2 linked regions of the Schizosaccharomyces pombe genome follow. The gene in region 2 interacts genetically with the main gene of each other region. Each region holds a gene or a part of one and is shown on either strand. Other genes may lie near its edges.

Region 1 (4,544 bases), 190 kb from region 2:
CAATACCATTTTCACAAGTTGATAAAGCAAGCGTTTTCCAATAACGCAAAACGTTAGTATCCTCAGTTTTAAAGTTGTATTCCAGTAAGGCTTTTCTATTATACCAATGTCCTCTTTTACCCACCAAATATATATTTTGAGATAAAAGGGTATCTAATATTTCATGTTCAACCTCAACTAATCGCGACTTCGCGAGAATATTTAGACTTTTATGTATTAAGTATGTGTAAACAGCACCAGGACGAAAGCTAAAAGAAAACCTTACCAATCGAGTATCTACTTTTCTATTTTCTTCCACCCAAAATTCCCTAATGTCTTCATTTAGATATGTCGACCATATAGGATATATTTCAAAAAAACTGTTCAACGCTTGTTCGAGTGCTTCCTTATCCGAAGCGGCAGTGTTTTCAAAGATTGGAACCAAGTTTTTTGAAAGTTCTAAAACCTCAACGTATTCAAGGCATTGAGCACGACAATTAAAGACGTTTGAAGTTCGCGATAAAACGTAATTCGGGTAGGAAAATTTGTTAAGGCGTGCTAATATTAAAGACGTAAGCGATTGTTCATCATAAATGGACGAACGAAAGTACACAATATTAATTCGATGAAATAGGTCTACTAAAATTTTCTTTGGTTTCACACAGGATTTGCATTGATATAATAGTTGCTTCCGAAGAAACGACTCTTGCTTATGCATCACACCAAAAGCATCAAAGGACAAAAATTGTTGACCATTACAATGTAGTACTGATTGTCTTTTAGATAGGAAAATGATTTCTTTTGAAATTTCAGACCTGCTTTTTCCACACACCTTCGTTTGTCTAGCTAACGAACGCAATTCATCGAGAGATAGAATTTCAATTATTTCTTCAGTTGACATGAGTGATTCATCTTCAAAAAAATTTTTCAGAACAAGCTGCTTACAGCAGGCAATAACATCCTTGCAATCTGGATAAGTCAAATGGCCCACGCGGAACCATTTATTTCTTTTACGCATGAATAGACGAACAAACAAGTACCGTTCATCCGAGTCTAAAGCTTTAAAGTTTTCAATAACCCTCAACTCATCATCAGTAAAGATATGCGGTTCACAATCGAGGACGGTGTTTAGGATTTCTTCGAACCCCAGCAGATACATTGAATTTTTAGTAGAATATACATTGTGCTTATTAGTATTGGCAACTTGTCCTTTAACTGTTGTCTCTGGTGCTTGACATACAACTTTTAAGGGAGGGAAACATAACTTGTTCTCGTTTACCCCAGATTTATCTGGAGTGTTTATGTCGCACGCTTCATTAAAGAATCGTTTCATGAATTTTTAGATATCACAGCAGCGCGACTGAATAAGTGCACAAGATGATGGCCGTAAGTAAACAAATATTTAAAAAAAAGAGCGGCTTTTACAACAATGGAAAGCTAGTATGAAAATAAATAATAATAAATTTTGAATGAATGTAAACGTCTTCTTGTGTAATAAAGTAAATTTTTAAAAGATTGAACATACAATTTAAGAGCATGGATTTCAAGGATAAAATGAGACAAACATTAAATCTATCGTGGATGTACTGGCAAAAAAAAAACGAAAATTATTGAATTTCATGGCAGCTGTAAATTTTTAAAGATTGCTTTAAAAGAAAGCCATACAATCAAATACTATGGTCAAAAGAGAAAAATTCGTTAAAACTTAGGAGAATGGTACTAGGGTAAGGACAACAGTTTAAATAAATGCTTTTGAAAATTTAACTGCATTCGTAAGTTACAGTGTTGTCTATAATGCAAGTTTAGCGAAAGTTGCTATTTGAAACTAAAAAGAAAATGTAAGTCAACAACGTTGTGCTTAAAATTACGACGCTGGCGAAGTTACTACAAACTCTCACTACCTTAACTTAGTAAGTCGAAACTTTTGACTAACCTTGGGCGTATCACATAAAGAAAAAATAAGTTAATTATTATTGTTCATGTTATAAATTTTTTTTAGCAAGGAATCCAAGAGCATTGACGCGCATATCATTTCATTAGAATTTGTACTTTTGTATTCCCTACTTTCATCAAAGTTTTTTCCGGAGAATTTAAGAGTTCATTTTAATAAACGAATTTCTTCCCTCCCTTCTTTTTTGAATAATTTTTTAAATAGCCTCATATTCATTCACTAACATGGATTTGTCTTCCAGATTATCATCAGGTTCTTCACGGATACCCAAGCGACACAGAGATTATCGCGATGAAGAACCTAGACGAGAAAGAGGTTCGGGTGGGATAGGAAGGGAAGACCCGAGAGGCCATTATGGCTCTGAACGACCTAGAAGACGTCGCCGAGACGAAAGTGATTTTCGTAGACATAGAGAATCTCGTGAAAGAAGTTATCGAGAGGATGAGAGGCCAAGAAGAGAAAGAAGATATGATGATTATGAGCCTCGATCATTACGTTATTCATCTGTCGGAAGAAGTAGAAGTCCACCTCCCAGCCGAGAAAGAAGCGTAAGGTCTATCGAACAGGAACTCGAACAATTGAGAGATGTAACACCAATAAATCAGTGGAAAAGGAAGCGCTCTTTATGGGACATTAAACCACCTGGTTATGAATTGGTTACTGCTGACCAGGCGAAAATGTCTGGTGTTTTTCCTTTGCCAGGCGCTCCTAGAGCTGCAGTTACTGATCCAGAGAAATTGCTAGAATTTGCTCGCTCTGCGGAAGGAAGTATTATTGCTCCCCCTCCGCCCTTACAACCAGGTGCTAGCAGACAGGCTCGTCGACTAGTGGTTACTGGAATTCCTAACGAATTCGTTGAAGATGCTTTTGTATCATTTATCGAAGATCTATTTATTTCAACTACATACCATAAACCCGAGACAAAGCATTTCTCCTCTGTCAACGTCTGTAAAGAAGAAAACTTTGCTATTCTTGAGGTCGCTACTCCTGAAGATGCCACCTTCCTCTGGGGGCTTCAGTCCGAATCATATTCTAATGATGTCTTTTTAAAATTTCAAAGAATTCAAAATTACATCGTCCCTCAAATTACCCCCGAAGTTTCTCAAAAAAGAAGTGATGATTATGCCAAGAACGACGTTTTAGATTCAAAAGACAAAATTTACATTTCAAATTTACCTTTAAATTTAGGCGAAGATCAAGTGGTGGAGCTACTTAAGCCTTTCGGTGATTTATTAAGCTTTCAATTGATAAAAAATATTGCAGATGGATCTTCGAAGGGTTTTTGTTTTTGCGAATTTAAAAATCCTTCTGATGCGGAAGTAGCTATCAGCGGTCTTGATGGTAAAGATACGTATGGGAACAAGTTACACGCACAATTTGCTTGTGTAGGTCTCAATCAAGCTATGATAGATAAGTCTAATGGAATGGCCATTTTGACAGAACTTGCTAAGGCGTCATCACAATCTATTCCAACTAGAGTCTTACAATTACATAATTTAATTACTGGGGACGAAATTATGGATGTACAAGAATATGAAGACATATATGAGTCTGTAAAGACCCAATTTTCGAATTATGGACCACTTATAGATATAAAAATTCCTCGTAGTATTGGCACTAGAAACTCGGGATTAGGAACTGGAAAGGTTTTTGTACGATACTCCGATATCAGATCTGCAGAGGTCGCAATGGAAGAGATGAAAGGTTGTAAATTTAATGATCGCACGATTGTCATTGCTTTTTATGGTGAGGATTGCTATAAAGCTAATGCATGGTGATTTCAGTTTCAATGAAAAGGTTAGTATAATATCTTAATGTTAGGGTAATAATATCAGTATTTCTCATTGGATTGTTTAAAGTGTAACAAAGTACTCAATTGTAATGAGCGATTGTGGGATGAAGTAATTCTTGCAAGCATTTCCCGTTATACGCTTTTTATCATCGGTTTAATTTACAAGGTTCGTTGTAAGGATTCTTAATATATGTATTTTTTGTAAATTGTTAGTCACTATCGTATTCTTCCTCGCTACTGCTGCTTTCCTCAGAATCGTTTTGATTTAACGATTCATCTGCAAACTCTTTAGGCCTTTAAACTAGTTAGCACAATCATCTAATGTTATTTCAAGAGAATTTCTTACCAATAAATTTGTTTTTTCCAATTTTTTAAAGGGCTTTGTACCACGTACAATATAGTACCGTCAATTTTATTGTCCTTCTCTAAAAACTCAGATTTATCAACTATTACAAACCCATTTCTCCTAACCCATATTTTATTACGATACTTTGGAGGCATCTCAACAAGTAATTCCTGTCCATTGTTTTCTACTACCATAAAAAGCGCAGATCCTTTAAGTTGCACAACTTTGGCGACGACTTGATCTTTTTCCAACCTAGCTGGTGGATCAAACGAAATTTGACCGCCATATTTTTTTGACATATTAGTATTTCTCTAAAGAGCTCGTATATATGTGATAACCAAGCAAATCGTAGAGAATTGGGTTTATGGTGGTTAGGAAGCTTCGACAAGTGGATTTACAAGATGATATGCATTTCATAAATGTCATTCCTTTCTATGAAAAAATAAAATTTAGTATACCATTATAACTTAAACGTA
Region 2 (5,883 bases):
GGGATGGAGATGGACGTCCTACATTACTGCAATCATGGGATTCACAGCATTTACATCTATGATTATATTTCACCGTGAGACATATACCCGCACAATTACAGAGATACGAGCGTCCAAGGTGAGAGTACTTACTGGGAACTATTGCTTACATGCCAAATCAGAAGAAGAGCCCTTGGAATTCTCATACTTTTTCCACAAATACTTCACATTTCCTCTCCGTCTTTTAATATTTGAGCCCATATTACTTGTGGTTTCAACTTATACCGCTTTCGTATATGGTATCCTTTATGGATTACTTGAAGCATACCCAGTTATTTTTGGGGAGAGTCGAAAATGGAGGTTGGGTGTTGAATCTCTTCCGTATTTGGCTATTTTTGTTGGTGTTTGTATTGGATGCTCTAGCGTTGCCCTGTTCCAGCCCTACTATTTTAAAAAGATGGATGAAAATAAAGGAAGACCTGTTCCTGAAGCACGACTTCCCTCCATGATGATCGGTTGCATTGTCTTTCCCATTGGCATCTTTTGGCTTGCTTGGACTGGTAATTATCCATGGATTCATTGGATTGTTCCAACTTTGGCAGGTAGTTTTATTGGCTTTGGAATCATTACAATTTTTCAACAAACAATCAATTATATCATTGATTGTTATAGTGGATGTTCTGCTTCTGCAATCGCGGCCAATACATTACTTAGAAGTTCGTTTGGCGCGGCATTTCCTCTTTTTACAACCCAAATGTTCAATAATTTGGGAATTGGTTGGGCTGGTTCTCTGGTCGGATTTGTTGCAGTTGGGCTTATTCCAGTTCCTTTTATGTTGTTTTTATATGGGCCGAAATTACGACAAATGAGCAAGCACTGTCTAAAGGATTAATTCGTCATAGAAGTCCGCTTTTTAGTTGATTTGCTTGACCCTCTCTTTTCCAGTTTTTGTTTTTCTTATTTCTGTTATATTCATCTTTTTTATTCAGAAACCATGCCCGCGGTTTGTTGCCTTGGGTTAATGGCCTCAGCATTTACTTGTTGTTATTGTTATTTTCGTTAATTTAACCAGTTTGCTGCCGTTTAGATATTTAGAAACGATGGACTTTGTTTTAAATGATCTCTATTACCCGCTGCCTCTTTCTTTTGTCTTTTTGTGACTTCTTTAATAATTCATCATCCTCAATGATTACTTTTGTTGATCTCCGTTTCCTTTATGTTTCTGATCATCACAAAAAAAGTACCTTTCAAATAGACATTTATATTTATTGGTTGGTTATGAACCTTACATATGATTTCCGTTTACCATAATACATTGCTAAGACCTCAACAAAAATAACTGTTAGCACAGGCCATACTTGTCAATTTATTATATCCCGTTTTTATCAATGTAATTGAATGTTTTCGAGTCCAGGTCTTGCCCGTAGAATCACGGTTAGTGTGAGTAGGTAGTAGATCTCGGGCCGTAGGTGTGAATGCCGTAAAGCTAGAACATTATCTGAGAATTTTCATTTTAAGAACGCCGTATGTTGAGAGAGAAAACAGATCTTAAATATCCCTCTTTTCAACGACTCAAGAATTGTTTACATTTTTTCTAGCTATCCTGTCGAGATCTAAGAGCTGAATGGGATACAGTTATAATGGATAACGATATAAATTTGGAAGACCTTAACACATCTTATGGAATTCTAACGGCTGGGCTACTTCGGTAAAAGTAGTTAGTAAGGGATAGCGATGGGATGAAAGCGCAGGGGGTTCATATTCTATCAACTGCTGATATTTTTAGTGATGCCTTAGTCATTGGTATTCATATATACGGATTTTTAAGTAGTATTATTAAAATATTTATGGTACAGTAACGGAGTGTAAAGGTGGCTTCTCCTACTGGCGTAAAATAATTAGTAAACCATTTTCCCATTTTTTGTTATTTACTATATCGAAACGCTCTTCCTAATGCGCAAAGTTTCCTCGGTAGTGTGCTAAGACTCCACGGTGTTTCCCCGTGTTGATTTTCGCACTAAAAATACTACTCCATACCGTATTTATAACCAGAACAAACAACAACAACAACGAAGGAATTGGTGTATTCACATATCTCAGATATTTTAATTTAAGAGCTGGAGGGACATATCAGTAGTTTCTTCATACGGGGCAGCCAGCCATTTTGAAATGGGAAGTGACGGGTCGAGTTTGTCACCGAAAGTGTCACAACCGGGACACACTGAAATAGTTGACCATGTCAGTGAAAAGGTGATCACGAATGGAAAAAATGTTAATAAAAAGGTCAATGCTGAAGTAGACGGAAAAAGCATGGTGGAAAAGGTAAAAACGCACGAAGAAAATGCAGAGGACTATCACTATGGTGGATACCACCCAGTCTACATTGGTGAAGAATTTCATCACCGTCGATATGTCGTTGAAAGAAAATTAGGCTGGGGACATTTTTCAACGGTTTGGCTTGCATATGATCGAGCTGCCAAACGGAGAGTAGCTTTGAAGGTGGTGCGTTCAGCAGAGCACTATCGAGAGACCTCAATTGATGAAATTCGCATTTTGCAGAAAATTAGAGAAGGGGACGAAAAGCATTTGGGCAAAAAGCATATCATTTCTTTGCTCGATTATTTTGTGCATCGTGGTCCTAATGGAGCTCATGTCTGTATGGTATTCGAAGTTCTCGGTGAGAATCTTTTAAGTTTGATACAGTCATACGGCCATCGAGGAGTACCTGTGGGTATTGTAAAGCAAATTGCCTACCAATTACTCATCGCTCTGGATTACTTGCATCGAGAATGCGGGATCATTCATACTGATCTTAAACCCGAAAATGTTTTAATATGCATTGATCAGGATGCCTTGCAACATATTGAGGCACCTGCAACAACTTCCTCCCCCACTTCTAATACCTCTTCTTCAAAAACAAGAAATAACACTGGTTATACAGCCAAAGCTCCAATTATTAAACGTGGCCAATCTGTAGATAACTCTGCCCAAGAACGCAAGACATTTGCAAAAAATCCAACTAAGAATTCTAAGCCTGCTGGCCAGGTCATTCCTAGCAGTCCTTTTACTTCCACTTTGAGCCGCTTTCCTTCATTAGAAGGTGCTGTTTCAGAAATCAGCCTTCGTGACTCTCAAAAGCATAATTCTCATCCTAATTCTCCGTTTTCTAGTGGAGATAATTCTCTTATACTTGATGGTGTTAACGGTTCTCAGGAACCCGTTCCAAAAATCACTGTTAAAATTGCCGATCTCGGTAACGCGTGCTGGACACGGAAGCATTTCACCAACGATGTGCAAACCCGTCAGTATAGGTCTCCAGAAGTAATTCTAGGATGTCGCTGGGGAGCTTCCGCTGATTGCTGGAGTTTTGCCTGTATCATTTTTGAATTGCTAACCGGCGATTACCTTTTCGATCCACGGAATGGGAATTCTTATTCTAAGGAGGATGACCACATTGCCCAAATTATTGAGTTATTGGTTAATTATCCTAAGCAAATGGCACTTTCAGGAAAGCACTCCCGCGATTTATTTAACCGTCGCGGTGAACTCCGAAATATTCATAAATTGAAGTTTTGGCCTTTAAAAGATGTTTTGGAGCAAAAATACCATTTTTCAGCCGAGTTGGCTCAACAAATATCAGACTTTTTATCTCCTATGTTATGTTTTGATCCTGCCAAGCGAACCAATGCTGGTTACATGAGCAATTCTCCATGGTTGCGCGAAGTGGCTGATCCTACGTTCAAAATCGAGACTACTGGAGCAACCGGTGAAGATGTACCCGGATGGGCTACTGAAATTCGTTAGTGTTTACCTTGATATTGGTTTTGAAGCGCTAGTAAATGATTTTTTTTTATATATAGTTTTTTTTTGCGATATCGTCCCTTTTTTAATTTCCCACCATTAGCGTGATTGCTTTAAAAAAGCATGACACCTTTCACTCTGAAATGGGTTACGTATGATTATCACGATTCCTTCTTTTGATCAACATTTACTGCACTGAAATTTGAACGAAATTTCCTTTTACTTAATGAATATTTAAGATATAGCAGGGTTTAGGTCAGCTGCTTTTTAAATCATATTATGTTTAGAAAACGCATAAAATAAAGTTTTGTCATTCAAAAGGAAGTTAATTGGAAATTGGTAACTTGTAATGTCACATATTAATATACTGTTCAGAATGCTGTCGAAAGAAGGAACAAACCGATGGTAAGATAACTCATTAAGGAACCATTAGATTAAACCGTACCTTTATTTCTCCTTTCTTCCAGCATTCGTTTTTCAAATTCGGTATTAAAATACTTTCTATCGCAGTCTAAAATAAATCTGGCACAACTTTCTTTGGATTCTTGAAGTCTCTTATTTGACTCACGGTATTCATCTGCTAAAGAAGAAGAATGAGGGTCAATTTGGGGTGGTTTTTGAGGACGGCCAGAGTTTTTTTGGGCTCGTTGGAAGTCAACACATAATCCAAGTAATTTTTCCGTTGTATACATATTACCAATGCAAGTGTGAGGCTGATAATGCATATATAGATCGAGTATATCCGCAATCACTGCTTCCGTTAGTGCTGGTGGAGCGAAGAACGATCTGGGAATTATAGGTTGAGGAAGTTGCTGTAACTTGCAAGCAATAGAAATCGATGCGACGGCAACAATATGGGCTGGATATTTTAACATTGTGTATGTTTTATAAGCATCAGTGCAGACATTCCAAGCTATACTTGCCGTGGAAGATGAAACTGAAAGTAAATTAGTTAACTCGAAAATTATAAGGTAAAATGAATAGCAGTCATACATTTCAGTGATTTTGCAAATTTTACCATGTAATTGTGTGGATGTCGGACTCGAAAATCGAAACAAATCAATTCCAGTGTCATTCTTTCTAAACCTAGAATCCTCTTCTTGTTCTCTTCGATTAGCTAATACACCTGTAAGCAAGTCTCCTTATAAACAAAAAACAATTATTGCGCACCTTGTAACATACTTGTGAATGAGCATCGACCTCAGAACCTGGATGCTTTTGAAGATAATGTGCTAAAAGAATATCACGAAACTTTTTGGCCGTATCTTCGATTTTACTAGCAACTACTAAGCAAGCAGTAGCGCACTCCTAAATGTGTTAGTTATTTTTGAAAGAAAAAGAGCCTAAATCAAGAGAATATGATGTTTATAACTTGGAGTAGCTGAGCTAACATTATTAAAAACTGTAGTCTTTTTTAATAGTATGACCAATGTACAGCATTCAGAATATTCTTATATCAGAATACGTAAAATTTCAAATAGCACAGCATACTCATGTGCGAAAGACATCCAAATAACATACCAGCAAAGGAATTTCATTCACGGGAAAAAATAGTTGGAAACGACTGTATAAAAGCATTGCAAGGCCGCTGGTCCTTACAGGGCTAAAAAAAAGTTAGATTCTAGATAATTTTGAGGAAAAGCATACAATTTTAAAGTTTTTGAAAGTGTTGATATCCAAGCGAACGCCTGCATTCGCAAATTATTTTCTTTGGGATCTCGCGTCGACAAAATTCGACTTATTTCTTTTTCTGAATAGTATGGGTGTGACATTCGTATTGAAAGTACATGATTCTCATTTTCTGCCATTTTAGCAGCTAAAATGGTGCTGGGTTTGTGAAGGCCTGGCTTTACCTGCAAGGTGCAAGTATGCTGAAGTTAAGCGATTCCTTTTAAGTAACGCATTTTATCATGTTGTATACTGTAAATCAATTAAAATAAAATAATTTTAATTCAGCAATTGCAGCTCGAAATTATCATGGAAATGTTCGCAGTTATTGAATTTGTAAATTATGACAGTCCTGCGTGCTATTGTAAAAGAGTTATGAAATTACTCATTTCTAAAATAAAATGATTGTTTAACCTTCGGAGTGTTCGTCGTTTA

Evidence for each region.
Region 1: of dsk1 (region 2) and prp2, changing one suppresses a phenotype caused by changing the other (phenotypic suppression), as found in Schizosaccharomyces pombe (one study listed by BioGRID).

What each region holds. Positions count from the first base shown.
Region 1 is NC_003423.3:1,011,401-1,015,944, forward strand, and holds prp2 (U2 small nuclear RNA auxiliary factor small subunit, U2AF-59), read left to right. Parts: upstream 1-1,909; 5' UTR 1,910-2,154; coding exon 2,155-3,708; 3' UTR 3,709-3,779; downstream 3,780-4,544. Other genes in the region: fan1 (fanconi-associated nuclease 1), read right to left, coding at 1-1,312; tif1102 (translation initiation factor eIF1A-like), read right to left, coding at 3,932-4,016, 4,069-4,367. UniProt on the Schizosaccharomyces pombe protein: Necessary for the splicing of pre-mRNA. The SF1-U2AF59-U2AF23 complex has a role in the recognition of the branch site (5'-UACUAAC-3'), the pyrimidine tract and the 3'-splice site at the 3'-end of introns.
Region 2 is NC_003423.3:824,079-829,961, reverse strand, and holds dsk1 (SR protein-specific kinase Dsk1), read left to right. Parts: upstream 1-2,029; 5' UTR 2,030-2,148; coding exon 2,149-3,783; 3' UTR 3,784-4,214; coding exon of another isoform or gene 4,215-4,717; 3' UTR 4,718-4,773; coding exon of another isoform or gene 4,774-4,897; 3' UTR 4,898-4,962; coding exon of another isoform or gene 4,963-5,088; 3' UTR 5,089-5,157; downstream 5,158-5,883. Other genes in the region: SPOM_SPBC530.15C (spermidine family transporter), read left to right, coding at 1-871; lsc1 (Lsk1 associated cyclin), read right to left, coding at 4,215-4,717, 4,774-4,897, 4,963-5,088, 5,302-5,383, 5,428-5,588. UniProt on the Schizosaccharomyces pombe protein: May play an important role in mitotic control by altering cellular location, degree of phosphorylation and kinase activity. Abundant expression accelerates the exit when cells are in M-phase and also delays the entry into mitosis when cells are in G2.